Lonchura striata: one gene and its partner. The protein of the gene in region 1 interacts with the protein of each later gene in a pairwise test. Links are inferred from orthologs where the notes say so. Each region holds a gene or a part of one and is shown in the gene's direction. Other genes may lie near its edges. The genes, in order: PIAS4 and SATB1.

Region 1 (16,201 bases):
AAGCATAACAAAAGCACAGATGTGAGGAACCACGGATGCCACCCAGCCCAAGCCGCCGTCCCTCACCTCCTTGGTGGCCCACTGGAAGCCGGCCACCACGCTGTCCTTGATCTCGTTGAGGTACTGCACCCCCTTGGTGATGTCGGTGAGGATGTTGGGGCCGGTGCCGTCGGGCCCGAAGCACCAGATCTTCCTGGCCTCGGTGACGTCCCACTCGTACTTCTCGGCCAGGTACCGCGCCCGCTGCTTCAGCTCCTGCCGGGCCGACACCTCGCCCTTGTCGATGTCCTCGGCCAGGCCCTCGGGGAAGGGCCGGGCCTTCATGTACAGCCGGTTGTGTTTGTTGGGGGACTTGGAAAGGCACATCACGCTGGACTCCTCGCTGACCGTCTCGCGGTAGGACACCACGGGGTCGGATTTCTGCGGGGACAGAGCGCGGCGTGAGGCACCAAAGCGGCCAAACCCCCACCACGAGCTCAGCCAGCACGCAGCCTCCTCTCTACCTTAATGGGGATGCAGGCGTGGTCCTCCTCCAGGTCCTTCAGGCAGATCTCCAGGTGCAGCTCCCCAGCGCCAGCGATGATGTGCTCCCCAGACTCCTCAATGATGCACTGGGAACACCAGGAACAGCAGGTGAAGCTTCAGAACGAGCCACATGCACAAGCAACTTTCTGTGTTTTTAGTGCTTGACCCAAAGAGCTACTTCTACATGTTCCCCCCACTCATCCCCTCTGTGTTTTTTGTTTGAAAAAAAAAAAAAAAACCACTTAAGTGACCCAAAACACTTTTGCTGCCCAAATGCCCGAGGAGGAGCCACGGTGTGGGGCGGGCATGGCCAAGGTAGCGCTGGAGGATCCCAAGGCAGCTACTTCTACATGTTCTCCCCACTCATCCCCTCTGTGTTTTTTGTGTTTGAAAAAAAAAAAACAACATTTAAGTGACCCAAAATGCTTTTGCTGCCCAAATGCCCGAGGAGCCATGGTGTGGGGCGAGCACAGCTGAGGCAGCACTGGAGGATCCTGAGGCAGCTACTTCTGGATGTTCTCCCCACTCATCTGGGGGTGTCGCAGCACCAAGCCAGGGTGCAAGGCAGGGACCAACACTCAACTCAAGGCTTCCCCAGGATGGAAGCAGCACCCCTGGATCCATTCTGGCCACTCACCTGCACCATGGGGTCAGACTTGGCCAGGCGCTTCAGCCCCTCCACCAGCTTGGGCAGGTCGGCCGGGTTCTTGGCCTCCACGGCCACGCGCACCACGGGGCTGACGCTGAACTTCATGACCCTCATGTTGTGGGCGTGCTCGAAGGTGGTGATGGTTCCAGTCTTCACAAGGAACTGGTCCACGCCGACCAGCCCCACGATGTTCCCGCAAGGCACGTCCTCGATGGGCTCCACGTAGCGGCCCATCATGAGAATGGTCCTAAAGGGAAAGGTGGATTAGTGAGGCTGGGAAGGGGAGGAGACCCCACTCAGCCCACAGCCAAGAACCTTGACAAGCCTCAGACATGAGAAGAGACCTGAGACAGCATCAGAATCCCTCGACAGCCCAGCCAGGACACACCTTTGAATTGGCTTCAGGTACAGATCCTCCTTCTTGCCAGGTGTGTAGTTTGGTCCCATGATTCTGACTTTCAAGCCAGTAGAGACGAGACCAGAGAAGACACGGCCAAAAGCGTAGAAACGTCCCTTGTCAGAGGTTGGCACCATTTTGGAGATGTACATCATCAGGGGGCCTTTGGGGTCACAGTTCTTAATGCCTGGGAGGGGGACAGACCAGCTTAGCACAGAGGTATCGATGTATCTGGCACCCACCCCAAAACCCCAACTCAAGACCTGCACCCACTGTCCCAGCCCAAGGGCTTCTGTCTGGGCTAGAGAAAACGGAGAATGGCTCCCACTGCCAGAGGGCAGGGATGGATGGGATATTGGGAAGGGATTGTTCCCTGGGAGAACACACAGGGTGCCCAGAGCAGCTGTGGCAGCTCCTGGATCCCTGGCAGGGCCCAAGGCCAGGTTGGATGGGGCTTGGAGAAGCCTGGGGCAGTGGAAGATGTCCCTGCCTGGTCAGGAGATGGGGCTGACCTTCAAGATCTCTTCCAAACCAATCTATTCTGAGATTCCATGGAAGATCTTATCACCAACAAATGTTTTTAACAGAGGTTCAGATGGACCCTCTGGCTACTCTGAGATTACTCAGCCAGCTGAGTGCTCCAGAACAGAGCTGTGAGCCACTAAAACTGTTTGATCCATGCTGGAAAAGCTACAGACTCAATTCCAGACACTCCTGAGCTGTGCACGTGGAGAACAAACTGGTTACAGGCATGCTGGAGCCGAGGCCGGGCAGCAGAGCAGCTCATCCTTCATCCTACCTATGGCAGCCTCATCGTCAGGGGGGCCCTCGTAGAGCAGCTCGCAGCGATACTTCTGGGCTGTGACGGGGGAAGGCAGGTGGATGGTGATCATCTGCAGCAGGGCATCTCCAGCTGGCAGCCACCGCCTCATCACAGCCTGGGCAGAGCAGCAGGACCCAGTCAGAGTGTTCACAACAGGGGTTCACCTCCCCGTCCTTCCCCACCTCCCAAGCAAGTTGATGTTGACACAGCTGGAGCAGCACTGCTCAGCTGCTCCCCAGAGGACTCAGACCAGCCTCACCTTCAGCAGGGGTTTGCCCTCCTTGTCCTTGTCCTCACTGTCCAGCTTGATGTCCAGTTTCTCAATCAGTTTAGCCGCCTCTTCTTTCTTGAAGTTCATGATTGCATCGAAAACCTGCGACAAGAGCAGCCCTTGGAGCGCCGCCGTGACCCCGTCTGGAGCAACTGCACCACCGCCCCTGCAGAGAATTCCTGCTCCTCCTCAGCACCCAGCTCCCCCAGGAGACACAGCCCCTGTGCCCCAGAGCAGCCAGGTGTGTCAGACAGCTGAATTTCTTCAATCAAACACGTCAGGTCAAAGTGAAGAAATTTTCCATCATCACGCACGGAACAGAAGCGCAGAGCAGGAGGCGCCGGCCAAGGAGGAACCCTGAGGAACTCACCTTGAAGATGGGGTCAAGGATGAGCTGACAGAAGGTCCTGGGCAGTTTCTTTCCATCAGGGCTGGTGGCAGATTTGCTGAACTTGCCAGTAGCAGGGTCAAAGTATCTACAGAGAGAAGGAAATTGGACAAACATCCTTGCTCAGGTCAGCTACAGACACACAGCGTGTTCTGCCTGCTCAGGGCAGAGCCAAGGGCTGCTGAGGAAGAGCCATTTCCTGCTTTCCCCCTCATCCAGCTTTCCAGCACTTACCAAATGTAATTACCTCCTGGTAAATTAGGCACAACCACGCCCTCCCCATCCTCCTTACCCACCCTCTGCCGCGCCAGGCTGCAGCTATGAGGAGCTGATCTGGAATTCCAATCACCACCATTCCCTCCTCACCTGTCTCCCCACAGCTTCTTCATCATGTCCTCAACTTTCTTGGCACGCTCGGCCGGGCTGAGCTGGGCATCTCCCTTGGCAGCAAACTTTGCCACGTACATCTCAGCAAACTGCTTCAGGGTGAAGGCCCAGCCGTGCAGGCCCGAGCCAAAGCCCACGGTCCCGAGCACCGGGTCAATCTGAGAGGGAACAGCAGAGCTGGGTCAGGGGAGCAGCGCTCAACCCACCCCAAAAACAGCCCAGTACAAAGTGGACCTTCAGGACACTGAGATTCTGAAGGAATTCTGTCCCAGTGACCACCTCCGAGGTCTGGGACAGGCACCATTTTAGCTTTGCACCACAGAAGTGGGTTGATTTTCCTCCACTCCCACCAGGTGGGTGCTCAGGTTTACGTGCAGGTAGGATTCCCATCCTTCCCAGGAGCATCAGGAAGGCATGGACACTTCCAGCTTCTCCTCAGAACCCGACACCCACAGCCCTGCTCCCTTCCCAGAAACCCAGCAGCAGAGCAGGTGGGAAGGTAACATTAAAGACCATCCCATTCCACCCTGCCATGGGCAGGGACACCTTTCGTGATCCCAGGCTGCTCCAAGCCCCGTCCAGCCTGGCCTTGGACACTTCCAGGCAGCCACAGCTGCTCTGGGCAACAATCCCAGCCTTTATTTGCTCAAGCCTTGAACTGGAAATTTGGGAGGGGAGCCAGCAAGAGCCCCAAGCCATCCCAGGCTCTGGGAGTTCAGGCACCCTCAAGATCCCCCTGTCCTCCACCTGGGACAGGGAATTCTCACTCAGGAGGGATCTGCTCCCTCTCGAAGCGCCTCAATCCAACCCCAGTGCTCAGAGCCTCCCCTCACCATGATGTTGCCCATGGGGCCGCTCTCTCCCTCTCCGTAGGTGGAGATGATGACGTTGACGTTCTCCACGATGCGCTGGAAGGTCTGGTACAGCTCCTCTGGGTCCAGCTGCAGCTCCAGCAGCGCCCGGTCCATCTTGTTCATCATCAGCACAGGCTTGATCCTCTCGGCGATGGCCTGACGCAGCACAGTCTCTGTCTGCACACACACACCTGCCAAACACACCAGAGTTAGCAGTGAGTTATCCCCACCTCCAAGTTCTCCAAAACGCTCTCCAGCTGCAGAAAACCTCACCAGAGACACAGTCTACGACGACCAGGGCACCGTCAGTGACTCGCAGAGCTGCAGTGACCTCTGAGGAGAAGTCCACGTGCCCAGGGGAGTCAATGAGGTTGATCAAGAAACCGGAACCATCCTTGCTCTGCTTGATGAAGGCCAAGTCGTTCTCAGAGAGCTCATAAAACAGAGAAATGGCTCTGAAAGAAAGCAGAAACTATTAAAATGATGATTGTGCTCAGGATCGTTTTCTCCCTAAAGCTCAGAGATGTTCTGCCCCACAAAACATCCCTGCCCCAGCACTGGAGGTGGCACCCAGTGCTCTGCTCCCGGTTGGAGTTGATGTCCTTGGAGATCTTTTCCAAGCTAGATGCTGGGCTCCAGGATTTCCTGGAGCGTATTCCAGGGAGGTCAGTGTGTGAGATAACAGAAGCACAGGCTACAACCTGTCCTTCCTAAACCATAACATCCTCCAGAATCCCAACCTCCTCCAGCTCCCTACAGTTCTCCAGCACGCATAAAGGGCTCCATTCCCAGATTGTGGATTTAGGCTTTTCCTACTAATCCCAACCGTGTTCTCCACCCCTTTTCTGGCCCCTCAGAGTCCTCACACGCCCTGTGGCAGCACAGCCACCAGGTGCATCCCCAGAGACGCTCCCAAGAGTCTCCACACCGCATCCATGGACATCCAACAATCCTGGTGCTGAACTGGGAGGGTGAAGCTCCTGCTTCCCCAATGCCCAGCAAACAATTGCTCCATGATTGAGCAGAAGCCAGTCAACACTTGCTCCACCATTCAAGACCCTCAGGAACATGACATGAGCTTCTGGACTAGACCAAAGTCCAACAGCACCTCCTGGAGGAGTCCAATCCCCCCTGAGTTCAGCCCAGGCAGCAGCAGGAGTCCGAGGGGAGGGCACTCACGTGGATTTGATGGTGATGCACCGTTCCTGCTCGTCCTTGCGGGTGTCGGTGAACCGGGTCTCCCCGGCCCGCGCTGAGGCGATGATCCCAGCCTTGCACACCAGGGAATCCGTCAGCGTGGACTTGCCGTGGTCCACGTGGGCGATCACCGACATGTTCCTGATGTTGGCCTTTTTATCCATGATGGCCCGTATCTGGTCTACTGTGAAGTTCACCTTGAAGTAGGGGAGGAGGGGGACTCAGCGCGTACAAAAACAGCTTTGGCAGTTCCAAGGAAGCCGACTCTGCCCTAAACACCCGCCACGACCGCGGTGACACCACCTCTGCCCGGGTGACAACACAACCCGCAGCCAGGGCAGCGCAGCGGGGCTGCGGCACCGACCCCTCCCTGCCCCGGTGGCCCTCCAGCCGCGGTGCCAGCGGGCGCAGGGCGCCCCCAGAAGCGAGCCCGGCCCGGCCCGGTGCCGGCCCGGCCCGGTGCCAGCCCGGCCCGGTGCCGGTGCCAGCCCGGCCCGCAGCGTTACATAAGGCACGGCCGGCACCGCAGCGCCCCGAGCCCGGCGCTGCCACATCAGCGCTCCCGAGCCCCGCGGCACAACGGCGGCCCCGGCACCGGCCCCGGCGGTCCCGCCGGTGTCACGGCCGCCCGGACCGGCCCCCTCCCGCCGCCCCACCCTCTCCCCGCAGCCGCGGCCCAGGCCGGCAGCACAGGCCGCAGCCGCCGCCGTGTGACCGGCGGCGCTCGCGGAACTGCCATCCCCGGCGATACGGGGAGCGCGATGGTCGCTAATCCCGCCGGCAGCGGCGGCGGGCGGCGGGGGCTCACCATGGTGGCGGATGGCGGCGGATGCTGCGGGGCGGGGGGGTCACGGCAATGGCGGCGGCTCGGCCCTGTCTCGCTGGCGAGCGCAGAGCGGGCGGAAGAGAGCGCTGACGTCAGCCGGCGCCCTCTTATAGGGCGGCGCCGCCGAGGGGCGGGGCCGGCGCCGAGCGCGTGCGCGGCCGCGCCGCTCTATCCCGCGCGCTCTATGGCCGGGAGGATGTCCCGCCTCGCCGGCACCACGTGGGGGTCACCGGGGCTGCACCGGGACTGCAGCGAGGCGACACCGGGGGAACAGCGACCGGCAGCGGCAGCCCCGCCCCGCCCGGGCTGCAACGGGGGGGGACAGTCCGCCCCTCCCGCTGCCGGTGTAGGAACCGGCTCGGAGCAGTGAGGCCGCCCTCGGAGCGGTATCACCGAGCGGCAGGCGAGCACGGGGGCTCAGCCGCTAGGAGAAGGCGGTAGGGCCGAGCCCGGTGGCAGGCAGCGGTCCGGGATCCCGGTGGGTCCGGGACACCTGTGGGTCCGCCTCGCCCCGCTCCCGCAGGGGGCTCGCAGTGCGCATGCTCCGGGCGGGCCGGTGCCGCAGCGCCCCCTGCGGGCAGGGAGGAGCGCGGCCGCACCGGGATCCGCACCGGGAGCGGCACCGGGATCCGCACCGGGAGCGGCCCCGGGATCCGCACCGGGAGCGGCCCCGGGATCCGCACCGGGAACGGCTCCGGATCCGCACGGGGAGCGGCCCCGGATCCGCACCGGGAGCGGCACCGGGATCCGCACCGGGAGCGGCCCCGGGATCCGCACCGGGAGCGGCACCGGGATCCGCACCGGGAGCGGCCCCGGATCCGCACCGGGAGTGGCACCGGGAGCGGCCCCGCGATCCGCACCGGGAGCGGACAAGGATCCGCACCGGGAGCGGACAAGGATCCGCACCGGGAGCGGCACCGGGAGCGGCACCGGGATCCGCACCGGGAGCGGCACCGGGATCCGCACCGGGAGTGGCACCGGGAGCGGCCCCGGGATCCGCACCGGGAGCGGCCCCGGATCCGCACCGGGAGTGGCACCGGGAGCGGCCCCGCGATCCGCACCGGGAGCGGACAAGGATCCGCACCGGGAGCGGACAAGGATCCGCACCGGGAGTGGCACCGGGATCCGCACCGGGAGCGGCCCCGGCCGGAGCCGCCCGCCGGGTCCGGTGGCACGGGGCCGCAGAGCTCGGGCTCCAGCCGTCCCTGTGCGCCCGCATCGCCTCAGAGCCGACAGAAACGTTGGAATGAACGGCTCGGGTCGGAAGGGACGCGGAGGAACATCCAGCGCCATGGCAGGGACACCTCCCACCATCCCGGGCTGCTCCAGCCTGGCCCTGGGCACTGCCAGCCACGGCTGCTCTGGGAATTCCATCCCAGCCCCTGCCCACCCTCCCAGGCAGGAATTCCATCCCAAAATCCCATCCATCCCTGCCCTCTGGCAGCGGAAGCCGTTCCTTGTATTCCTGTCCTTCCACCCCTTGTCCAAAGTCTCTCTTCCCATATTCCTTGTGGGGTCCCTTCAGGTCCTGAAGGCTGCAATGAGCTCGCCCAAAAACTTCTCTTCTCCAGGCTGGACAATCCCACTTCTCTCACTGGCAGCTCCCAAATTCCCAGCACATTCCCAGGCAGGATGGCCACGGGGCTGCACCCGGGATGGATTGACAGGATGAATTATCGGCCTCTGGGGTTTCCATAGCAATCTGGGGGATTTTTAGCACCAACCCTGATTTTTGCCAGCCTAGAAGGGAAAAGTTGGAAACCTGATGAGCATCCTGCTCTTCCTGAGAAATTGTTAATTGCCTTTTTGATTAATTAGTATGTGGGGTTGATGGCAAGGAGAGGAAAGTGCTGGAAAACCTTTCCCAGCGCAGCGTTTCACCTCAAACACTGAGGTTACCCTGAAATCATCCAGTCCAACTCCTGGCCCTGCACAGACACCCCAACACCCTGTCCCAGAGTGTTTTCCAAAGGCTCCTGGAGCTCCGGCAGGGTTGGGAATGTGCCCGTTCCCTGGGGAGCCTGGGCAGTGCCCACCACCCTCAGAGGCAGAACCTTTCCCTGAGCTCCATCCCAAATCCCCGGCACAGCTCCAGCTGTTCCCTGGCTCGTGTCCCTGCTCCCAGAGCAGAGATGGGAGCTGCCTATCGGGGAAAAGCTGCAAACCACAATGTATTTATTATTATCATTATCATTATTACTATTATTATTGTTATATGGAAGGTATTTTTAATAAGCAATGGGTTCTGTCGCAGAAGGGGCCACAAACACTGACCAGAGAAGGAACCGGGACCCATCCCCATCCCTTCCCCTCTACATCCCCCCAGCACTTCCCTCCTCACCGGGGCCGCCGGCGGAGCCTCGGGCCGAGCCCACCGGGCGCTGCCCTGCCCCGGGGCACCCACCTGGTGCCATCCTGGGGGCAGCACCCACCGCCTGCCCACCCCTTCCCCGTCCCGCAGTGCCCGCGGCACCGCCTCCATCCCCGGTCCCGCCGCCGTTCCCCCCCACCCCCGCCACCCCGCGGTGCTGCCCCGGTTTGCGGTGCGCGGCCCCTTTAAGACTCTCGCGGGGGAGGCGTGGCCTGGCGGGGCGTGGCTCGCGAGGGGGGCGTGGCCGGGGGGGCGCGCGCGGCGATTGGGCGGCGCTCGCGGCCCCGCCCCCTCCCTCCGCCCCGCCCGGCGCGAGGCCGTCACGTGACCCGGCGGCGGCCGGCGCGGCGGACGCTGCAGGCCCAAGATGGCGGCGGAGCTGGTGGAGGCGAAGGTGAGGGAAGCGGCGCCGCCGCCCCGCCCGCGGGGCCCGGCCGCCACCGGGCGGCTCCCGGCGCGGGCACACGGCGTGGGGGCGGTGCTGCGAACCGCGGGGGCGGCGCTCCGGGGCCTCCCCTTCGCCTTTTTTACCTCAGACACTGCCCCGCCCCGGCCTCAGGGCCGCAGCCCCCGCCGGACCTCCCGGCGCCGAACCGGGCCGAAGCGGGCCGCGGCGCTGCCCGCGCTCCTCGGGGCTGCCCCCGCCGTGGCTTTCCCCCCGAATTCCCGCGGGGAAGGCTCGCTGGTGCCGGTGGCGCTCCGGGGGTGGAGCGGCTCGGTGCGGAGCTGTCCGCTGGGACGGGCACTGCCGGGGGCAGCGGCGGCCCCGCGCCCCTCCGGGATGGGGGAAGCGCGGGTGCGCTCGCAGCTGTGCGGTTCGTGCCCTGCAGAGCAGCGGGAGCTTCTCCCGCTGCCCTCGGGATGGCGGCACCGCGGGACCGGGAGAGCGGCCGGTGCCCAGTGCGGTTGGGGAGCCCCGGCCGCGTTCCCGGGCGGTGTTCCCGAGGAAGCGCTCCCCGCCCGCAGGAGCAGCCCCTCGGCAGGGATGGGGCTGGCTGGCCGCAGCAATCCCACCGGGAGCGGCTTTTTTTTGGGGGGGCTCTGCAATTGCAGAGCGGGGAAGGCGCTCCCGGCATCGCGGTGGCCGCAGAGGGTTCTGCGGGCTCTGAGCCGTCCCGCACCGGCGTTCCCGCGAGCAGCAGCGGCCGGGAGCGTCGGGAATCCCGGCGATCCATGTGCTCTCCCTGCTGCCGCGGGGCAGCTCTCGGAGCTCTCTGGGTTTGCTTTGTCTGGGGTTTGTTGTTGTGTCGCTGCTCAAATCTCATCGCACTGCCGGGCCTTCATCCCTTCAAAATGGAAACTCTGCGCTCCGGCTCCGCTTTCCAGGCCAAGACTCCTGGTGAGGTGCTCCAGGAGGAATTCCTGTGCTCCTGGGATGCCCTGGTACCTCCTGCTGCTGTGTCTTGATGAATTTATCTTTCCAAATGCACCTTTTAGCCTCAAATCCCTCAGGGACAAGAAGACTCTCTCCATTTCCTAGCACACTTTAATGATCCTGGTGGGATTTCATCAGCCTTGATGATCTTGGAGGTCTTTTCCAACCTTAATGATCCTGATTCTTTTTTTTTTTTAGTTGAAGAAAACTGAGGCACAAAGTAGATTTCTCCAGGATTTCACAGGTGGTGTCTGGTGGAGCAGCACCATGAATCCAGGGCTCTGAAATTCTCACTTTCTGGCAATTAAACATCTTTTCTCTCCTCTTTAGTCATCAGTCTTTTTTTCCCTTCATCTGGGATATTTTGGGACTCATCACGACTCCCAGAAGTTCTAGCTACAGACAGTGACATAACAGCTTTTGGGTTTTCTGATTAAATGACATATGTAAGGGAAAAGGAGAAAATCAAATGGCATTTTCTCTCTCATTTAATTCCCACACATCCAAAAGTGGCTGTGAAATGTTTCTGGAAACAGTTGTAGCTTTCTTAATTAAAAAAAAAAAAAATCTGTAGCTGGTTTATTCCAGGAAATGATAAGATTGTTAGATTATCTTTTATGCTTTTTTTATTAATTATTAATTCAAGAGTGGGGTAGAGGCTGGGGAACATCTGCTGGATTTTTTTGGTGGAGTTTCTTCTTGAATTCCCATATTCCCCACAAACCAGGAAGGCTGCGGAGTGAATATCTACCAGGTTAATTTGCAGAGCAACTTGAATTTTCTCAGCTGTGTACTTTATAAGCTGTTGTTTTGCAATTCCAAGGCTGTTTGGTGTTTAGGGAGCTGAAATGCCAGCCTGGAGCTGTGGGTTTAATGGGGAGAATTCCTGGTTTCTGATGGGAAGTTGCCTTGTGGCCTTTGACTCTGCTGACAGTTACAGGCCAGACTTGCCCCAGAGAGGGAATTTTGGAAGGCTGAGCTGGGTTTTGCTGCTTATCAGGCACTGAAACTGATAACTGCACCAAGGCAGCTCCTGGCTGGGATCGCAGGGAAGTGCTTGGCATTGCTCTCCTGGGAACACTCTGCTCCCTTCAATAATCGGAATGTCCTTGCATGCTCTAAAATATGTGGGTTTTTACAGATCCTCTGCATGTAGGGAGGATTCTGGAGGGGTTTTCCCATCCAGAAATCCAGAATCGGTGGCCCCAGTTCACCTCAGCCTCGCCTAACTCATTTTGCTTTCCTTCCTGTGCCTTGCACTGACACCATTTGGGATGAAGCTTTCCGTGTTTCTCTGGGAATTCGGGATGCCTCAGGCTGCTGAAGGAGCTCATGAGCTCTTTCACAAGTGAGGCCTCTTGCTTTAGAGCTTTGAGGTCGCTCCTGCTTCCAGCTGGGCTGTCTCGAGGATGTTTAGCATCTGTCCGAGTGATTTTTGAGTCATTTGATGACTGTGCTGGTGGTTTTGTCCTTCAGGTGATATTTCAGTGGGTGATCTCTGCGTTTGCATTGCTCAAACAAGAACTGAGAGCCAAAATTCGGTTGACAGCAGCGGGTTTGGACAGGTTTGGGGTCTTTCTTTGAGGGGAAAATTTTGAATATCTTGCCTTGTAGCTATAAAGTGACAACTAAACCTTTGCCTTTTATAACTATGAGAACATCTTTTAATTTTTTATCCCCCAGAACATGGTGATGAGTTTCCGAGTCTCAGATCTTCAGATGTTGCTGGGTTTTGTTGGCAGGAGTAAAAGCGGACTAAAACACGAGCTAGTGACCCGAGCTTTGCAGCTGGTCCAGTTCGACTGCAGCCCCGAGGTGTTCAAGAAGATCAAGGAGCTCTACGAGACTCGCTACAACAAGAAGGGCTCGGAGGTGGCGCCGCCGCCGGCGCCGCACCGCGCCGAGGCGCTGGCCCTGCACTCGTCCTACGAGCGCGGCGGCGCCGTGCCCCGGCCCCTGCCCGCCGCCAGCATCGACTACCCTGCCCTCTATGGCAAATACCTGAACGGACTGGGCAGGTTGCCCCCCAAAGTGGCCAAGCCTGAGGTTCGCTTGGTCAAGTTGCCCTTTTACACCACGCTGGACGAGCTGCTGAAGCCCACAGAGTTAGGTGAGGTTCGGGGTGGGGTGGGGTGGGGCGGGGGGTGTTTGTGTTGGGAAATAAGTTGTGGTTGTAAAGGGGATTTCTAAAGTTGTGGGGTGGGAGAGGCTGATGGATAGGGTGGTGAGACCCACCCCCCCCTTCCCCCTCTCCCTCTCTTTTTCTTTTCCTCCCTCTCTCTTTCTTCTACCCGCTGTCTCCTTCACCTCTCTCTCCCTTTCCTCCCTCCCTCTCTCCCTTTCCTCCCTCCCTCTCTCCCTTTCCTCCCTCTCTCTCTCCCTTTCCTCCCTCTCTCTCTCCCTTTCCTCCCTCTCTCTCTCCCTTTCCTCCCTCTCTCTCCCTTTCCTCCCTCTCTCTCCCTTTCCTCCCTCTCTCTCTTTCCTCCCTCTCTCTCCCTTTCCTCTCTCTCCCTCTCCCTTTCCTCCCTCTCCCTTTCCTCCCTCTCCTCCCTCTCCCTCTCCCTTTCCTCCCTCTCTCTTTCCTCCCTCCCTCTCTCTTTCCTCCCTCTCTCTCTCTTTCCTCCCTCTCTCTCTCTTTCCTCCCTCTCTCTCCCTTTCCTCTCTCTCCCTTTCCTCTCTCTCCCTCTCCCTTTCCTCCCTCTCCCTTTCCTCCCTCTCCTCCCTCTCCCTCTCCCTTTCCTCCCTCTCCCTTTCCTCCCTCTCTTTTTCCCCCACCATCTCCTTCAGCTCTCTCTCTCTCCCCTTCTTCTCTTTCTATCTTTCCCCTCTCTCTCTCTTCCCCCCACTCTTCCCCCCCCTTCCCCCTTCTCTCTTTCCCCCTCTCTTTTTTTCCCATCTCCCTCTCTCTCTCTTTTCCCTCCCTCTCTCTCTTTACCCTCTCTCCCTCTCTCTCTTCCCCACCCCTCTCTCTCCCGCCATGCTCAGAATTTACAGAGGAATATTTCTCTCTGGGCTTGCCAGTGCTTAAAAGTGGCTGACAAAAGAGGGAGAGCAGCTTTTTACAGAAAAGGAGAGTGCTGGGAAAGAGGGAATGGCTTCAAACTAAAAGAGGAGAGATGTAGATGGGATATTGGAGCAGTTCTTCCCTGTGAGGGTGAGGAGGCCCTGGCACAGGGAGGGAGAAGCTGTGCCTGTCCTGGAAGTGCCCAAGGCCAGGTTGGAGCACCCTGGGACAGTGGAAGTTGTGGGATGGAATGGGATGATCCTTCAGGTCCTTCCCACTCCAAATCCTGTGCTCCTGTGGTTTTCCTCAGACCTGGAACGTGGTGGTCACTTTGGGATGTAACTTGGAAGCCCACCTTGTTTGGTTCCTGTGGATTATGGGGCCATATTCTACACTACTGCTGGTTTTCAGCACTAAAAATCCCTGACCTGAAGCATTCTATGGATAAAAGAGGATGTATTTTTGACCCTCAAACTATATTTTTGACATTTTTTTGGTGCTTATCACAGTTATTTGTGTGTAGTGCTGTGTGTTTTGATGGGTAACTAGTAAAACTGGAAGAAGAGCTTTTTCCCTGGGTGTGGAGACTGATTTTTCTTTGTTTTCGTTTTGAGAAACAAGGAATGTTGTTCACTGATGTTAAATAGAATGTTCTGGTAGCAAATTCTGTGTGTCCAGAGAAGTTGAGTTCTGCTGAGCGTCTCATAAATTCATGTGGCAATGTCAGAATTCTCTGCCAAATGATTCTACAACTTGAGCTGGTTTGCCTTTGCTGAAAAGATATTTGTTGTGGCTTGGAGTGGAAAAATAGATAAAGATTTGATTGTGCAGAAGCAAAAAGATAAAGGTCTAATTAGTCACATTCTATATAGTTTCTTCTTCATTTGAAGGCATAACTGCTGTGACAAAACAGCTGAGCGGTGCCAGAGTCAAGCTCAAACGTTACAACAGTGTGAGGAATGGTTTGTTCAGTGTTAAACGTGTGTTAGTCAGCAATTCCAATATGGGAATTTTGGAGGAAAACAAATTTCCAAGAGGTGGAAGCATCCAGAGACAGCAGGGGCTGGATACGCTCGCTGGGATTACCAGATTTTGTTCCAAGGTGCCATTAAATGTCCCCTGCATCAGCTCAGAGCCAGGGCAGCCTCTGCCCTGGGAGGTGACACCTCCCCGGGGCCAGCCAGGGCTTCTGGCTGATTTCCCTGCTGCTGGCAGAGTTTTCTGTGGAGCCAGGAGGAGCTGGCCACCAGCAGATGTTCAGGTCTCACACCCGACCAGGCTGCACCTCCCAGATTTTGGGTTTCTATTCCAGCAGCAATTTAATTTTTGTCTAAAGGAAGAGTGAGCTGATAGAAATGCAAAATAAACCACGAGCAGCGTCTCACTTTTCCTAATCAGGTTTGCTGTGTCTTTTGTGTGGCTGAACAATCAGCAGGACTCAGTTTATTGGCAGTTTCTTAATCAGAAACGTTAAAGTTACTTTTTGTTATTGTTCTTCTCAATCTTCACTTACTAAAAATACCTCATGAAATGTTTTATTTTCTGCTGGTTGTTTTAGTCAGGAGATATTTGGGAGGAAACTAGAACTAAACAAAAAGTTCCATAGAGATATCTTAATTCTTACTTCTAAATTTTATTTTTGTAAGTTCCATTTGCATTTTTAAAGCAAAAAAGGGACCAAAGGGGAAGCACCTGGTGTGACTCAAGTTGTCACCAGGTCTTTCAAGAGCTGCTGAGGTTTTATCCTTCCTTCATCTCCTCTTTTTCATAGGAAAGTGCACTTTCCTCCTTCTGAAATCCTGTTGGCTTTGAATAACCATGCAGTGGAAGTCAGGCAAAGCAAAACACCCAATTCTTGCTATTGTAAATAATTTTTAAAAAGCTGTTTTAGCACTTCCTCTCTGTGTTCCTCCCGTGACTTTTAGCAGCTCGGGGTCTGAACTTTGCTTAGAGACACAAAACTGAAAATAAAACGTGTTTGGTTGAAGTACAGGTCGCAACAAAAGTTTCCCACGTCTCAAGCTTCATTTTTCCCCACATTAAATGCACTTGATCTTAAAATTATCAGTGTGCAAAAGGCCCCAGTTAATGCTTGGCTGTCTTAAGCCTCTCTGAGGGTGAGCTGCTGTCCCACCCTCAAGGTCAGGGGGTTTGAAGTTGTGTTTTGTCTCTTCCAGCTGCTTTTTGTGTTGCTTTTTTATTATCTGAGCTAATATTTTTTGTTGCTGGGGTTGTTTTCTTTCTTTTCCAGAACCCGCCTGCTCAGTCTGGTTGGTTTTGGGCTTTTGTGTCAGGCTCAGGTCTCCTCTTGGGCTTCTTGAGGATGTGACACCACTGATGTGGTGAGCTGATGGCTCTTGAATTATTTGAGGGGAGGAAAAATAATTTTTAAAAAAAGAGAAAAATCAAATCCAAAGCTTGTGTTGGTTGTACTGAACAGTGAGCAAAGCTTTAATCAAAGCAGAATTACCAAAACAGGTGAAAACTGCAATTCTGGGGTGTGGGAAAAAACAAGACCTGGAGGTAAACAGAGCATAACAATCACCTCGTGCTCAGAGCTGCTGTCCTCAGTTTGATGGACACTTTTTTCTTCCCTCCTCAGTTCCACAGAATAATGAGAAGCTTCAGGAAAGTCCGTGCATTTTTGCATTAACACCGAGACAAGTGGAGCTGATCAGAAATTCCAGGTACTCCTCACTGGGTATTAACAGCTGAGGAAAATGCAGCTGCATAATTCCATAATTCCTCCGTGTTCCCTGCCTGTGGAAGCTTTTGTTCTCTGCAAGGGAACAGGATTTGTGTGAGGACATCAGGCTGCTCCTGGTGTACAGCAAAGAGCTTTGGGGGCAGTGGGAGCTGCAAATTCACCCAGCCAGGTCCTTAAGTTTCACTTGTGCTGCTCTAACCTCCCTCTGGAATGGTGCATTTGGGCAGGAAAATCAGGATGAAATCATCGATGACCTAAATTCTCTGCTGAGCTGGTGGTGTGAGTGTCTGCAGCCTTTCCTCTTGTGCCAGGTTCAAAAGGCAGAGTGTGAGGCTGTTTGCATCTGAAAGGAAACTTCCTTGGTGGGGAGGAGGCTGCAGGAACTGCCCGAGGAAACATCTCGGATTAGGATTTACCCTGACCTCTG
Region 2 (15,753 bases), on another chromosome or scaffold:
ATCTTTGAATATTATTGCACTTTTCCTAGAAAAGGCCAACATTTTAGTATGTATTTCTATTTTAATTTAGATAAATTCTATAAAAATATAATTTTAACCTTGCATCCCACAGGACTTAAAATAAATATGAGTGTCTAGCCATGTTAGCCATTAGAGCTTCTAATGGGAAACACTTACAGAGAGAATTTTCATTATAAGTAATATGCAATCCAACAGTTTCCTGTGCTGTCCTTTGTGATGCAAAATAAAAATGGACCATAAACTTTACCAAGATAACAGTTCCCAGCAGATACCAAGTATTGCTGTTATTATGAAATAAACTGTTATTAATAATTAGATACTGATTTATATAGTTTGTGGCTAATCCTATAAAGCATTATGGTGCTCCAACTCTGAATTTTTTTGTCCCATGGTTCCTTGTCAGGTATCCAGAATCATGTTTTGAAAGCATTACTTTCCTGCAGCGCAGCAGAAGAGACACCTGGGTGGCCTGGAAAACAGCCAGCACAGCATGTCTTGACCTCAACATAAGACAACTGGAGTTAACCAGGGGAAAAATGGTTTGTCCCAAATCTACAATCCTGCCTCCTTCTAAAGCAAAGGCTCTACCTGAGGGTTACCTCTAAAGACAGGGCTCTACCCAGGGCTGTCTGAGAGATGCCTCCATCCACTCAGTATCTACACCCTCATTCTTTTTATGAAAATAGGTCCCTGTGATCTTTCCTTCAAAACTTATGTTTTATTAAAACATAGCTGGAGGAGAAGCTGGCTTCCCATCTCCCTCTATATAACAACTCTGTGATTAGAGCACTAATGCAATCATGGGATTCATCTCTGCTGCCCTGAAAGGCCCCAATTTACAACTCCTCTCACCCCAGGGAGGACTCTGGCCACCAGGCTGATGGTTATTTTAGAAGAGGCAGTCTCGACCCTTTTGCTGAAACAGTGCCCTTGAGCACAAACGAATTCAAGATTCCTTAGATCATAATCTTATGTTTAGTTTATTCCCAGGGCTGGGGCACACACTGAGTTTTCTCGGGATTATTTTTGTCTTCACTATGTTAAATTGTTGTGAAATACATACAATATCCCCCTAAAAAAATTAAAAACGAAAACAAAAATAAGAGTAAAAATAAAAATAGTCCTGGGATTAAGTTCCCATTATTACCACAGTGACCCTTCTGCATTTTGTCAAGAATGCAGTCATGTTAGGGAGTTTGAGCACACTCCACGAGTAACCAGGAGGCCAAGCTGACCAAGACACTCAAGCAGAAGAATACTGCAGGTCTAGAGGACCTGGGTGGGCATGAACAGTCCTGAATGGCCACTTAGGAGTCCCAAGTGGAAAAGCAACTAACTCTAAGGCAAATCTAGTGCTTTGAGGTTTAGGCAACTTCTTAGAAAAGGTTTTGTGAATTACAGCTGTTTGTTCACATGTTTGAATTCTACCCGATTCCCACATTTCAACCATCCACATCCTTTTATTGACCAAAACACAAGTATTGACAGAGACGTCTTTGTGCTCCCAAAATATCTTTTTATTTAGGAAAAAAACATCAGCAGTTACTGAAGATCATCAACATTGAAAGCATTGAGTGGTTACCTTCACAGAATAATGCCTGCCACAGCTTATCTGACAGACTGATTATTCAAAGTCTGGTGCACCTATGGTTGGGAATCATATTGCAAGGCTTAGGTTTTCACACTTAAACTGCCCTGTCTGTCCACAGGAAGAATTATGCTAAATCCCGTTTTCACTTCACAATATTCCTGAGGTGAAAATGTAACTTTGCAGAAATAAAATGTTTATTTTGACATTGTGACTGATGTCTGCTACTCTGTGACAAGAAACATTAATAAAAGGCCTCATTAACTAGATACTGTAAACTCCAGACCAAAGACTTGTTTCTCTGAAACTTCCTTATTCTGGGCACATTCTGTTTAGGCCCTTACAGAATCTTTACATTTCTAGAAACCAAGTGTACTTTTGTCTCTAAACAGCACAGTAATGAGGTGCTTATATTATCACCTATAGCAGAAAAAGCTTTTTCACTAGGTTTAACAAGAATACAAGAAAAAAAAAGCTAAATTTATCCTATTTATTCTGGTTTTGTACACTTATTTACTAAGATCTAGTGGCACACCTTGTAATTCCTAGTTAGGTATTCAAAATTGCAACATGACTACAAGTTAAATATAATTTGTGAAATATATGCCATATTTGATAAAAAATGCATGTAGTCAGAATCATATGATTTAATTTGCATAGATGTAAAAACAGAATTTATTATACACAACCTATATTCATAAAAGTAGACAGTCACCTGGTTTCTCTTCACTGGTTTAAGCTGGCAGTGTCTCAATACAGGCAACAGAATTTTTAAAAGCAGCCAAGACAAGTGGAAGTAGAAAAGAAGAGACAACGTGCAGTAAAAGTGGTTCACACAAATATTGATATATCTCCTTCAAACCTTTAAAAGTTATACTTTTAGACTTTCAGATGGAAGGAGACAGCAGCCAGGCAAAACAGAAGTGAGTCTGACATCACTGATGCATCTGCAAAAACTTGATCTACTTTTCCAAAAAGCTAAGTTTTATGAGGATGCACTTTAGTTTTTTAGGTAATCCAAAAACCTCCTGTAACAGAGATGTGGAGCAGAAAGCAGTTACCATCTTGGAGAGTGGCCAAATGGACTGAGGTACTGTGTAGCATAAGGGCCTGGAAACATGGACCTTCACTGTATGATTGGAGAGAACTTAAACTAGTTTGAAGACAGAAAAATGAATATGCTACTATTGACATGATGACAACTTCAGTAAAGAAGTTTTCAGAATAGACATTCAAGTAGCAAGGTCACATAGGCCTGAGCTCAAGAGATTGGTGTCTGACCAACAAAGAACAGAATAACCAACCGACTGCAGAAACGCACTAAAGATATATTCAGAAAAAGACATCTGACTATCTTCCACTGAACCACTAGCAAAATGAAACATCAAAAAGGTTGTGGCACAGACAGTAATGGCCACTTGCATTTAAGATATTCACAGAAGGCTACTTCAGCATGGTTGTATCTGTTGATTACCATTTTCATCTACAACAGATAACATTTAGAACTGGTTGGAACATAGTTCAAACCAAGTCTTAACATTTCATCAAGCTGCTGAGACATCCATGTGTACTCCATGCCAATACGCAGGTTTCTTTGCTATGTTTCACAAATAATAACATATAAATAGTTTTCAAAATGTAGGCTGGAACTTTTCTATGTTAAGAAGGAAAAAATACCCAAATGTTATTTTCAGTTTCTGATGTGCTCAGCTTAAGCAAACCATGATGAAAGCAAGCAATTACAACGAATGATAGGTGGCATGTGGTGGTTTTCACTGATATAGCATTATCCACACACTACAAGCTGGAAATAAACCATACTTGATAATGTACATATTACTTGAGAACGACACAAGTATCTGAGCACTACTGAGAGTTCTGTTGCTCATGTATAATTTAGGCAGAAGATGGCCTTCTCTGTCAACGATGGGTCAACATACCTTTCAAGTAGGCACACGTTCCTACAGCGTTTCCTTCTTGGAAATGAACATTTCATTTCAAGCCCCAGGTAATATCAGATACAGAAAAAAGCTCACATATATATGTATTTGGTCACTGGATCCATGTGGATTCTTTTAACCCCACTCTAGTCCTTGCTGAACTTCACTTTCCACCCCTCTGTACTCATGTCTAAACATAAAGGTATTTACATGTCTGAAAGGAACTGGAAAGCAACTGTGATATTTCCCAGAGGATTTTAAAGCTCTTCTCACAGAAAACCAACAGATCATTATGTCACAGTGGCACTTCAATAAAAGGGACACCTCAGGAAGGGCCTCTGACATGGTTATGATTAGCAGATTCGTCACTTTCACTACCTCACTTGTAAAAGAAAGACTGGAACAGAAATATTTTCAGTCAGTATTATCCTTCCCTGGAATCAGTTATGTCTGTAGGCCTTATAAGATGTGCCATCAATAGGATGGTCTTTGGATAAATATGCACTGCTGGAAGTACCTAAAACTGATGGGTCTTTGAAATCGTGTGTGTATCTGCTGTTCCTTGGCAGGTTCTAAATCCACAAATTCATGAGTGGCTTATTGTGATTCATATGCCACTTTCATTTTTGGCAGGTAATGCTAATGGTATTGGAGAATGACTATTTGAATGAGATCTGCACCCACTTCCCTCAAATCAGGACTCTAAAAATGCTCAGAAAGGAGCTGTCAGCATAAATAAAAAAATAATTTAAAAAGAATGTATACTTATTCTGTATAGGCTTTCAGCTGCACAATTCCAGACATCAGAGATGAGCAGGATGAACAGGACTTTCTATAGTTCCTTTCTAAGCATTATAGCATCTATAGCTCCTTTCTGAGCATGTAGAAGGCTGGGCAAGGAAACATTTAGGGCGGGAATTGAGGAAGAGGAAATATCTACATGTCAGTAATAGGAAAGTTATATTGTACATCTGGCTTTTAGGCATGCTTTGATGACATGCCACAGCTAAAGAGCAGGCAGTATATGTGTTGCTTCAGTGACATGAATGACACAACTTGGTAAAACTCACTGCTTAATGACATAAATTGTAACTCTCAAACACAGTATATGGTTGTCCCATATGTATTTCGGTGTTTAGACTCATATTAGGTATTTTGATACTGAAAGCACTGAAGGAGCATTATGCTGAAAACCAGTGCACACTAGGTAAGCAAGAGCACCTTATCTATACTAATGCTGGACTTCCCATCATAGTTTGTTGTTTTGTAACAATACCATAACATTTAGCTAATATTGTTTACAGTAGCCCAATGACAAGCAATTCTATTCCCATTACTGCAAACAGTCTGGTATTAAATATTTGTTTCCAAAGTAAACTGCCTGATGTAGCTGAAAAGTATTACCACACTTTTTTTAAAAAAAGCTGAATAAACCTTACCTGTTAAAAACAAAATGTGACCTAAAAAAAAGTGTGTGTGTTTTGACTAATATACAAAGTTGATGAAAAATAAGGTTTATGCTACATTTCTATTTTAAAGAAGGATTTTCAATAGTGCACTTGAGGATCTTTAAAAGGGATCTTGGTCTAAATTCAGTTACAGTTCTGGATCTGGTCTTAAATCCATGTGTAGCCTCAGGCAAATGCGTTAATTTTCCTGTTTCAGTTTCCCTGCCTTTAAAGTGGGGATAACGTGACTAACCCAAATAGCTTAGCTGCAATTTGTAGCAATGAGTAACTTGATTATTAGATTTCTGAGACATGAAACATGATTATTATTAGGGCTTACTGACCAGCCAGTCAGAAATGTGATACAAATAAAGGAGATGGGTCTTTGACAGTAGAAGGATGTAGGTTAGTCAGTCAGTCAGTCAGAGTAGCTCTGCAAGGAGGCAACTCCAGGGAGTGGAGAGTTGGACCTATAAAAGAGAGAATGTCCCCTTTGTACTGATCTCCTGTTTATTACCCCATGGTATCAAAAGATAATAAAAAGCTAAGTCCTCTCTGAGAAATGAAGACATCCAAAGCACTACAACAAATCAGCTGCAGGCAAATAAATTTTTATCTGTGTAAGTGAGCTCGATGTTATTTTCTAGTGGAAATGTTAGAATTTATTAAAGACCTAGGATTTTTATTTAAAATGAGAAAGTAGGGGATGATATGTTTTAAATAGAGAAAAAGTCAGAGGACTGTTAACATGGAGATAAAAGGGTGAATTAATTTCTGGTGTTGTTGCAGTAATTTGGTATTCAACATATTGAGTCCAAATTCGCACCATTGCACCTAGTATAAATAGTAGTGACTTTTAATAACTGTGACAAAAATACTCTCCCCACTGGCAAGGTCAATATTATTAATTGCTATTCCTATTATTAACCTTTGGGCTTGTGTATCCTCCATGGATTAATGATTATTCAATAACTGAGCTACAAGGTTAACTTACTAATAGCAATTAATAGAATGACATACTGCTGGCTAACTAGGAAAAGCAATGACGAATCAACTTCTTGGCCTTGGTCTTGTTTGATGGAAAGGTGCCTATGGGAATTGTACCTGTCAGTTCCCACAGCTGAAAGACAAAAATCTGCCTCAAAGTTGAGACAAATAAAAAACGGAGATTGGGCTGACATCCGGGTCCCCTCTCTTGTCAGTCTCCTTGGGAATAAGAAACAGCCTCAGCTTTCAGGGAAACATGCGTTCAGTGGTCATTCTCCAGTAGCTCCACTTCCAATCCTACATCAGTGAAGAGGGGAAAGAAGGTCTTAAAAACAAAAAAAGGAGAGAAAAGTACTTCCCCTAGGAGAAGTTTCATGAATAAAGGCAATTCTCTAACAGCGTTACAGAGCACGTGGTGCCAGGTGAAACACCAGGCAGGCGTAGCACAGTGATGCGGGACTCGGCCCCGCTCCCGGCCCGACGGGGCAGCGGGACTGCCGGCAGGCAGAGGCCTCCGGGGGATGCCTGCCCGCACCCGGGCATCCCCAGCCCGCGGAGACCGCCAGCGCGCTAGCGGAGCTTCTCCATCAGCCACCTCAAATCGCGGGTAGCCGCGGAGCGCTGCCTGCCCGAAAGAGGCTGCCGCCGGGGCTCTGCGAGTAGCGGCGGGGGGCGGCCAGAGGGCGCGGGGACAGCTGTGGAAATAAAGGAGCGGGGGAAGGATGGAGAAGGGGGAAGAAGGGGGCGGGGGCGCGGTGCCGGGGAAGGCAATGCGGGGACGGTGGAGGGTTTCGACCCGAGTTCCGGGGAGAAGGGGGACGCGGCAGGCACGAGTAAACGCACACCACCATCCCCCGGCACTTGCACCAAGTCAGCCCCACCGCCCCCCGGGGCCGGGAGCCGCCGGAGGGAAGGAGCCGCCGCGCACACACACAGACACACGCCACCGCTGCGCTCCAGCCGCCGCTCGGTTCTCCCCCCCTCCCACCGCCGCCGCGCAGGCAGGAGGCAGCGGGCGCGGAACAGAGCGGGCGGCGCAGGGCTCGGAGACCCCGGCCCCAGTCGGACCGGCCCCCAGCGGCCGCGCTGCCCCGACGGCACCGCCGCCCCCTCCCCGGGGGCAGCGCGCACCTCCCCGCCTGGAGGGGCCGTACGAGGCAGCAGGCGGGGGGACCGCGGGCACACACACACACACAGCTCACACACATATACACACACACGCGCAGGCACACCCGCACAGACACGCGCAGGCAGAGGCAGGGCTGCCCCACGCCGGTACCTTGCTGCCCTGGTGTTTTCCGTCCGGGCTCCTCCTTGCTGAGGCAGCTCGGGAGCGGAGCCGAGCGGGCGGGTGCGTGTGCGTGTGTGTGTGTGCGTGCGTGCATGCGTGTGCCTCTGTGTATGTGTGTGTGTGTGTGTGTGTGCGCGCGTGTGTATGCGAGAGCGAGCGAGCGAGAGAGACTCTCCCCCCTCCCCCTCCTCCTCCTCGCTCTCCTTCCTTTAAACGCCCACTCCTGATGGGTGAAAAGACAACTTGAACTTCAGTGCAATTAACTTCGCCGGCGCCTCGGAAGCCGGAGGTGTCGCCGGCCTCGCCCGCCGCGCTCCCATGAGTGAGTTGGTCCCGCTCCTTCGGCGTCTCTCCTCGGGGACGGGGGGGACAGAGCCGTGCCGGGGGCAGCCGCCGCGGCGATTTACCCGGCTGTGCCGGCCCGGGAGGGCGGGCGGGCGGGAGGCGCGGGGCGGGTGGCCGCGCCGGGCGCTGCCGCTGCCGGAGCCTCCCGGCCGGCGCGGGCTCACACCTGCCGCCGCGCCGCTGCCGGTCGGCGGCCCCGCTCCGCTCCGCTCCCTTGCCCGCTGCCGCCTCACCCGCCGCTGGCACGGGGGGGAGCGGGGGGAAGCGGGGGTGGGGGCAGAGGGAAAAACCCCCAGAAGTTTGGCAAAGTTCTTACCCAGCTTCGCGCGCCTCCCGGCAGCGGCGGGCGCGGGGCGGCGGCGCCCCCGACGGCGCGGGGCGAAGCGGCGGGGCCGGGGGTCGCGGGCGGGGGGCGGGGGGGTCGCGGGGTGGCGCTTCCGCAGGGCGCGGGGGTTGCGCGGGCGGCCGAGCGGCCGCGGCTGCCCCAGCCGGGGGCGCGCCCGTGGCGGCGGGTGGCAAGTCCCCCCCGCCCGCCCGCGGCACGACCCGGGGCTGCCGCTGTCGCGGGGAGCAGCGCCAGCAGCTCGTCTGTGTGCTCCAGGATTTACTTTTGATTTTTCTACTCCGTCTCCGAACCCGCCACCCGAGGTTTTGCTAAATCCTCGCCCCTTTGTCGCCGTCTCCGCCGGCTGCCGGGGGGAGCGCTCCTGACAGGCACCTGCCCGACCCGGAGTTTCCCTCTGCCAGTCTCCAGCTTTTTCTGACTGCGGGAGAAACTTCGCTACAATCTAAGTTTTCTGAAACACTTTGCACCAGCTCCTAAGCTGAAATGAGTTTAAACTGAGAAAAGCTCTCCTCTGGTTTTAGTCCGTGCAAGTGAGCGCAGCGATTCTGTGAAAATAATTCACAAATTCAGATGCAGAGACGTGTGATCTGGAGGTGCCCTTTCATTCTGGTCCGTGCTGCTTGGGTGGGAGTTAGTAGCAGCCCCTTATTTCTACTTTATATTATTTTGGTACAGCGCATTCATATATTTGTCTGCTGTAGTCTGCTGGCAAACATTAGCATTCAAGCTTACATTTTTGACAAATGTGCAGACAGGAATAGCATGAATAGGCATCTTAAATATTAACAACCTAAGCATCTGTTATGAAACAAATTTAATATATTTACTCTGTTTTTCTCACATTGTTAGGAAAGGTTACAATAAGTGTAAAATTTCAGCTGTAGTTAGCACAAGGAATGCTTGGATATTTCACTATCAAGCATTTAACACAATCACCAGATAGAAATGTGTCAAATCAGGCGCACTATTCAAAAACAACTCGAAACTGTATGCGTAGAGTGTATAGACATGAATATAGCATGTTCTCTGTAATTTCTATCTTCTAATTACTTTTCAGCAGTATTTGTAGAATTTGAGAATGCTCTTTCCAGTCCCGTACTCCTATATGCTCTTTAATATGTTTATACATATACACACACTAATTTTCTAATTCACTTTCTATTTGAGATCGTTATGGATATTACCTTGCTTTTCAAGTTGAAGCAATGGTTTTGCAAGGAAATGTGAAATAACGTAGAGTAGGTAAAAAAATGAGCAGGCAGAAAATGCAACGTGTTCACATATAAGCATGCGTCAGAACAGATAGCGCACACACATAATAAGGCAATAGAAGAGAAATTAAAATCCTTGGCTAGTATGCTATGTATGCCCACTCTTCAGTACAGCTAGTGGAAAAGAAACAACTGACTCCAAGGAATTCCTCTGTCCCTGCAATAAAACTGTTCAGAGTAGAACAAGAGCACAGAAAAGCAAAGCCTCCAAAAAGGCTGTAGAGTTATTTCAGGAATCAGTGCATTCCTTCCCTTTTTCCCACAAGTTCAAATATGTAATAAATAAGTCCTTTGTATGCAAAATAGTTTACTGGAACAAAAAGATACTTAAATGAAATGCTTTTTGTGCATGAATTTTGAAAAACTGGCCATTTCCTTTTTATATTCTTTGTTCTTGATACTTTAAATAGCAAAGTAACTCTCGCAGTTTCCCCTCTCATGCTATTTTAGCGACTCGTGTGAATCCTAACCTGCTGCTGTGCTCCCGAGAAAGCAGTGTGAAGCAGAGTCGCTCTGTAACTCACTGATGGGACACGGTGCTTTGGCAGTATCAGGAGCAGAGAGAGCCTGCCATGCCAGCCCCAGCTTGTACACGAGCAGGGCACCTCTTTGGTTTGCAGCGTAGGCCCAGCGGGTGAGAGGATGAGCACCTGCCCTCTGTGGCTGTGCTTCCCAAGGCAGCATCAGCCCTGCCTGCAGCCCTGCCAGCATCCCACAGGCACCAGCCACCACGTTCAGCCCTGCTGGGGACGTGGGCACATCCACCCCTGCAGCACGAAAACCTCTTTAGAGAGGTTTCTCTAAAGAAAATGTTTCTCACACATTACAGGTTTGGGATAGAGAGGGTTTTACATGTGTGAAACTGCCATTTAGAAGATAATCAGATGAAGTCTGGTGATCTTGTTAAAAAAAAAAGACCAACAAAAAACTCACCAAATCTTTTAAACGTATCAACTACTTGGTTTTTCAAAGTACTGTTACCTTTTTAATGTCACCTATTTTTTTAGTCTAAATATTGTCAGAGGAATTTGAAGTAATTCCGTAGGTTTCCAGCTGTATTTGAAATAAAAAGAAAATTAAGAAGATTACTTTATTAATAAAATAGTTCATAATATATAGAAAAATACATTAAAGTAGATTTCTGAATTAAAACTGGAGGAAATATGACTTCTGAAATGTTTTAGTCATATTTCTAGGAACTATGGTATTTTAACATAGACTCTAGTGAAGCATTTTATTGCTTTCTTGTATATAACTGCCATTGCTCTCTCTAGATATATTTAATATATATCCAGTGAAGCCACAAACTTTCCTTCTACAACAGTTTAAACACATCTGGAACATTTTACTTTCTTATAATTTATGTTAATAGATGTAGAGTGTATATACAATCTTCTCAGACATCATTGCTTTTTCCAAAGGGGAATTTTTTTACTTTCAGTCAGGGAATATATTTATAAGAACAAAATAACTCAAAGTATAGGCAATTCCATATATCATTTTATTTTCTGTTATATTAGGTTGATTATATAAAGCTTTCATTTAGAGCAATGGGATGATGAAATTACAGCGGAATGATTGGCTTTTGTTTTTTCAAATGGTTCAAGTTGAGGGCTGCAAAAATGAATGTTTTTTGTAAAGTTCTTTGAGTGCATAATATTTTTCATAGAATTCTGACAAATTAATTTAATAGAAAAGCCACAAGTCTCTTAGCCAGGTAAAATGGAAGTTCTGTTTTTGCCGTTATAGGCATCAGGCTTCAGTAATCTGCTCCTCTTGTGGAATGAACACTTTCTACTTAAAGCTATCATGCACCTACTGTTTATTTACGCTGCATTAAACTGACAGCACGGCAATCAGAGGAAAAAATATGACTTACTTTCCTGAAGTAAACACCAGTTTATAGGTTAGTGCCTGTATTTATATTCCTGTCGCCACTAAATAATGGCTGTCTCCATTTTAATATCTACCTGTGGTGTTACCCAGGGCAGCTGGCTCTTCCTTGTTTAAAACAAGCAAAAAAGGAAGGTGGGGGTGAGGAAGAGAAGAAAGTTTTGTTATCATTCCACTCTAAGAGGAACTTAATAGAAAAGTGATTCAGTATTCCTTTCTGTGGCAAGCCGAAGCCAGTTTTAAAGACATAGTATTCAGTTTTACTTGATGTAATTGAATTGCATCTCAAACAGGGAAAACAGAATTCCTTAACAGTATTTGTCTATCCAAGACACTGTAATTGTATATTCAGGCAATGGCAGATTAAGGGCAGAAGCATTTTATTAATAACTGAAAGCACATATGTGTGTGTGATGAAAAATGTTCTGCAAATCTGTCACTATGCAATCAAGTGCATTTTTTAAACTTTAGTTGTCACAAAGTTGCTACTGAGTCTAAAAAAAAAAAGGAAAAAAGAAAGAAGTAAAACAGTTTGACGGTTAAAGAGTAACTTACAGTTCTTACTGCCTGCTATACGGAAATTTTGCAACTTTATAAAGTCAGTCTCAGAAAGCCCTGTTGATGTTACTTTTAATCTTGGAACGGTGAGTCCAAATATCTGGCATTTGAACTGAAGATAACTGCAGTCAGAATAACCCACAGTTTGCAAAAAGCTTCTCTAAATTCTCTGTTGAAGGACTCCATTAATAACTTTTACCTGAGAGGTTAATTCCTCCCTCAGATTCTCAAAAGTATTATACCTAACACTAAGTTGGCTAGTTGGTCAGTTCCATTGTCTGTGGTATCATGAACTGTCAACAGCCCTGACCACAACTTGTAACTGTTACTTCCAAGTGGATATATTATGATGTTCCCTTCAAAAATGCTGGTGGTTTTGAACATTTGCCATCCTGTGGCATCTAAGTTTACCACAGTTATCACCAGCACCTCATTACATAATAGCTAGCCATTCTATTGCTTTGCAAAAGCCAACTTTCTCATGGTTTCTGCACAGGATTGCTCTCAGTAGGTTTAAGTCTTGACAGAGATTAATTTTAAGGAGACTTGCCAGCTCTGAACTTGTACATATGTTCTGAACTGGTCCTTGTGCCCTGTATCAATTGTAACCTACTCTTAATCTGTTTTATCTGGTGCAGTGTACTAGGAATGGCATAGTAATAGTAGAGTACAGTAGTAGAGTGTAGTAACATACCTCAGGCACTGTCTGAATTCTAAATATTTCCTTTTAAACTTGCTGAGCCTGACTTTGTTCTCATGCACACTGGTGTGTCACTACACAGCTTGATCCTCTGCTGTTCCTGTAGAGGATCAGCGTTAGGCATTCGGATGGGCTCAAGGACACACTAACACTTAGTATTTGCACCAAGGTCCACCTTGCAGCTATTTATTTAGAACACCAATGCACAGCAATCTCTCTGGAGATTGATTCCCCTGTGAAACACTGTGCATTTGTGTTTGCTGGGATGGGGACTGTAAGACTTGCTTTCACCGGAGCGCAGGCTAACTGCTGTCTCTGAGCTGTGGTAAAGCATTGCTGGTGGCACCTCTGCACAGCTGTAGGCTCACAGAAGTTATCTCTCACTACCTCGTGCTTTGCTGCTGTGAACTGCAGGTTAGAGAGGCGAGAGGAGCCTGCTGGCCTGTGAATTGGCCTCTGTCACCCCAGCTGCACCTGGGTGCAAAACATCAGGATGGGCCATGTCTGTCAGCTGCGCTGGCCTTACATAACTTCCAGGGACTATCTGCTCTATCTCTTTCCCGTGGCGCATTATGACATGATGTGACCTGAGGAGACGAGGGAGGTGCTTTAAACCTCAAGTGCATCTTGTCTTCCCGGGATCCTGCTCTGACAGGATTTATTTGGCCAGCAGCAATCATTTGTGGGTCTTTACACTTGCTGCTCGCTAGACGAAGTGGTGATGCATTCAGACCACCTGTGTTTGGAGGACTGTCTCATAATCTTTTCTGGTGTCTTTACTCCTGGTTCTGGTTTCAGCCCTGAAAAAAATGTGTAATTTTTGGTTAATAACTGTCCATGCCATATTTGCCATCTTTGATGTTGTAACCCTGATTTTGAAAATGCTCAGCACATAACTTCATATGAAGGAAAAGGAAGCTACAGCACATTATCCTTTTATAAATGCGGCCTTAATATGCTCCTGGTTTATTTACCCAGCTATAAAATTAGTAGTATATGTGTTTCATAGAACAGTGAAGGAGTAAGTAATTCTTTACATTTGTAAATCAGTCCTAGAGTGGAAAACATTTCCAACAGAAGTGCCAGGAATTGCTGCTCTGAACTCAAACCCACATGCAAAGGTATGAGAAAGGTATTTCCTTTTCAGCAACTGCACTTAGAATATATGTCTGTCATAATAGCCAGGTAATTAAAAACATTTTCAATGAAAAGGAGGAAAGTTCTAAACATCATACACACCCTATATTCCTACTTCTATTACATTAAATAAAAGACAGAGAAGAGAGGAGGTGAAAGAGAGTGGGAGAGAGCATGCATGCATGCAGACTCTCAGAAGGACCAAAGGCAAAAACTGAAGTGGAGAGGAATTCCAGACTGAGTTTTAAAATGTTTATAATCAAACATTAAATTAATATTTTTGTGGAGAGGAGTATTAGAAAGATTTTAAGTAATTAGTGCTTTTCATCATAGGTGGGCTTTCTTGATAAATATAAGAAGTCTCAAGAATAATTAAAGGCATCTTAAAACTTAAAAATGACAATTTTAGCTTCTAAGGATTCATTGTAATGTAATAATACTGTATGCTTTTTAGTGTTACTTCTGCACTAGACATTTAATTACAGTCTTTGTGAGACATGTTATCTGTATAGTAACCAGTGCATAAAAAGAATGATATTTACTTTTACATACAAGCTCTTGCTTGCCAGCTTTCTTTTTAAGATTATAGATTAAGATCTCTAATCCAGAATGTTCATGACTTCAATGAAAACAATTTGACACAATTTTGGGGAGGAATGGAGCATTTATTGTAATAGTACTACTTCTCTAGTCACACTTTTTGCAATAATACTTGAACTGCTGTTTAGCAGTGGGTTTTTTTTTCTGTGCAAGGGCCCAAACCCAGCATTTCTTTGTTTGTTCAAAGGGTAGATTTTAGAATATCAAATGAAAAAGCATGTCTAATTTTTATATTGAGAAGTAGGATTAAAAAACCGTCTAAGCATAGTATGGTAGGTTTTTCACTGGTACAGTGTATTGCTGAGAGGAAATTTGGAGCTTGCTTTTGCTATGTTAGATATTGACTATTGTCTGAAACATACACTAGATAATATAAATTTATGGAGTTTGTAGCTTGGTCCACTCATTGCTATGGAAAAGTAAGTACAGTTGCAAAAAGGTGCATAAAATTAGTTTTTCTTTTGATATATTTCCAGATTCCCCTAACTGCGAAAAGTGCTTCTCGACGTAGTGAACTTCCCACAGTTCCTAGGTTCCGCACTGCCATCATTGCAGGATGAGGCACAAGGGAAACCTGTTTTAAACTGAAAGTAGAGCTTTTCACTCGATAATATGCATCATACATCTTCTTTTAGGTCTTGTTTTTCATTTCTTATCTAGCAGTCCTGTGCAGGAACAATATGATATAGGTTTTGAGGCCCTAGTTTCAGTATGCTTTGTAAGAAAATCTCAGAATAAAGTCAATCGGTCAGAATCAATCTCTGTCCCATTGACTGTATTTTATTGACTTTCTGTTTCGTTTTTCTTCACTTGAATCACTGTATACTATAATCATCTTTGCCATTCCTGATGACTTTTGCTATAGTCTTTTCAAGAAAATGCTATAGTGTGTTTGCATTTGAAACTTGTGATTCGACTACTTTATTTGGGCTGCGAGCCCTACAAGTAACCGACTTCTGCACTGCTGCTTAAAATGACATTTAGGATACTCATAGGTGTAGTTATTGTTTTCTAAGCATTCCAGAAGAATTTTATGGATACTATGCAGGAGAATTGAACCAGTAGAATTTTTTTATATGTTTGGCAGGATGACAGATATGCCGTAAGAGGCATTATACTGTCTGATAAATTGCATTACCAAGCACTATTTCATATAGGTTCTGTCTCTTTAAAAATGCAGTCTCCTCTATTTGCCCTATTAATTGTTGATATGTTGCCATCCACGAGACAAAAATTAGAGCTGTAATTAAATAATCATGTGATGCTCCTTAGTGCCAGTGAGAGCAAACTCATTTTTCCAGGCCCTGATGGTCACTGATTATTGTATTACTACTGGCTTGCTTTATTTTTTTTTAATGGCTCTATATTGCTGGGTTACCTAACCACTGCCCTTCTTTTCAAAATTAAAGGAATTGAAGAACATTAAGTCACTTAATTGGCTAGTAGTCTGTGGGGATACAAAGTAGTCATACCTTCTCTGCTTTTTGGTCACTCAATTGGTTCTACGGGGAGAACTACATCAGTGGTGTGGTTGTGTGCCATTTAATTTACACTGGTGTTTTGGCTGGGATGGATGCATATAGGGAATGCCAGGAGAATTACAAAAGGAGCAGGGTATTAAAATTCAG

The links.
Region 2: the proteins of PIAS4 (region 1) and SATB1 interact in a two-hybrid assay, tested with the Homo sapiens proteins (2 studies listed by BioGRID and IntAct). The link is inferred for Lonchura striata from reciprocal best matches to the Homo sapiens genes PIAS4 and SATB1.

Annotation. Positions count from the first base shown.
Region 1 is NC_134630.1:6,824,799-6,840,999, reverse strand, and holds the start of PIAS4 (E3 SUMO-protein ligase PIAS4), read left to right. Parts: upstream 1-8,993; 5' UTR 8,994-9,055; coding exon 9,056-9,082; intron 9,083-11,746; coding exon 11,747-12,173; intron 12,174-15,669; coding exon 15,670-15,754; intron 15,755-16,201. Other genes in the region: EEF2 (elongation factor 2), read right to left, coding at 67-420, 504-611, 1,163-1,421, 1,563-1,758, 2,371-2,509, 2,654-2,767, 3,036-3,141, 3,420-3,598 and 4 more.
Region 2 is NC_134603.1:120,685,305-120,701,057, forward strand, and holds the start of SATB1 (DNA-binding protein SATB1), read left to right. Parts: upstream 1-7,490; 5' UTR 7,491-7,597; intron 7,598-15,753. UniProt on the Homo sapiens protein: Crucial silencing factor contributing to the initiation of X inactivation mediated by Xist RNA that occurs during embryogenesis and in lymphoma.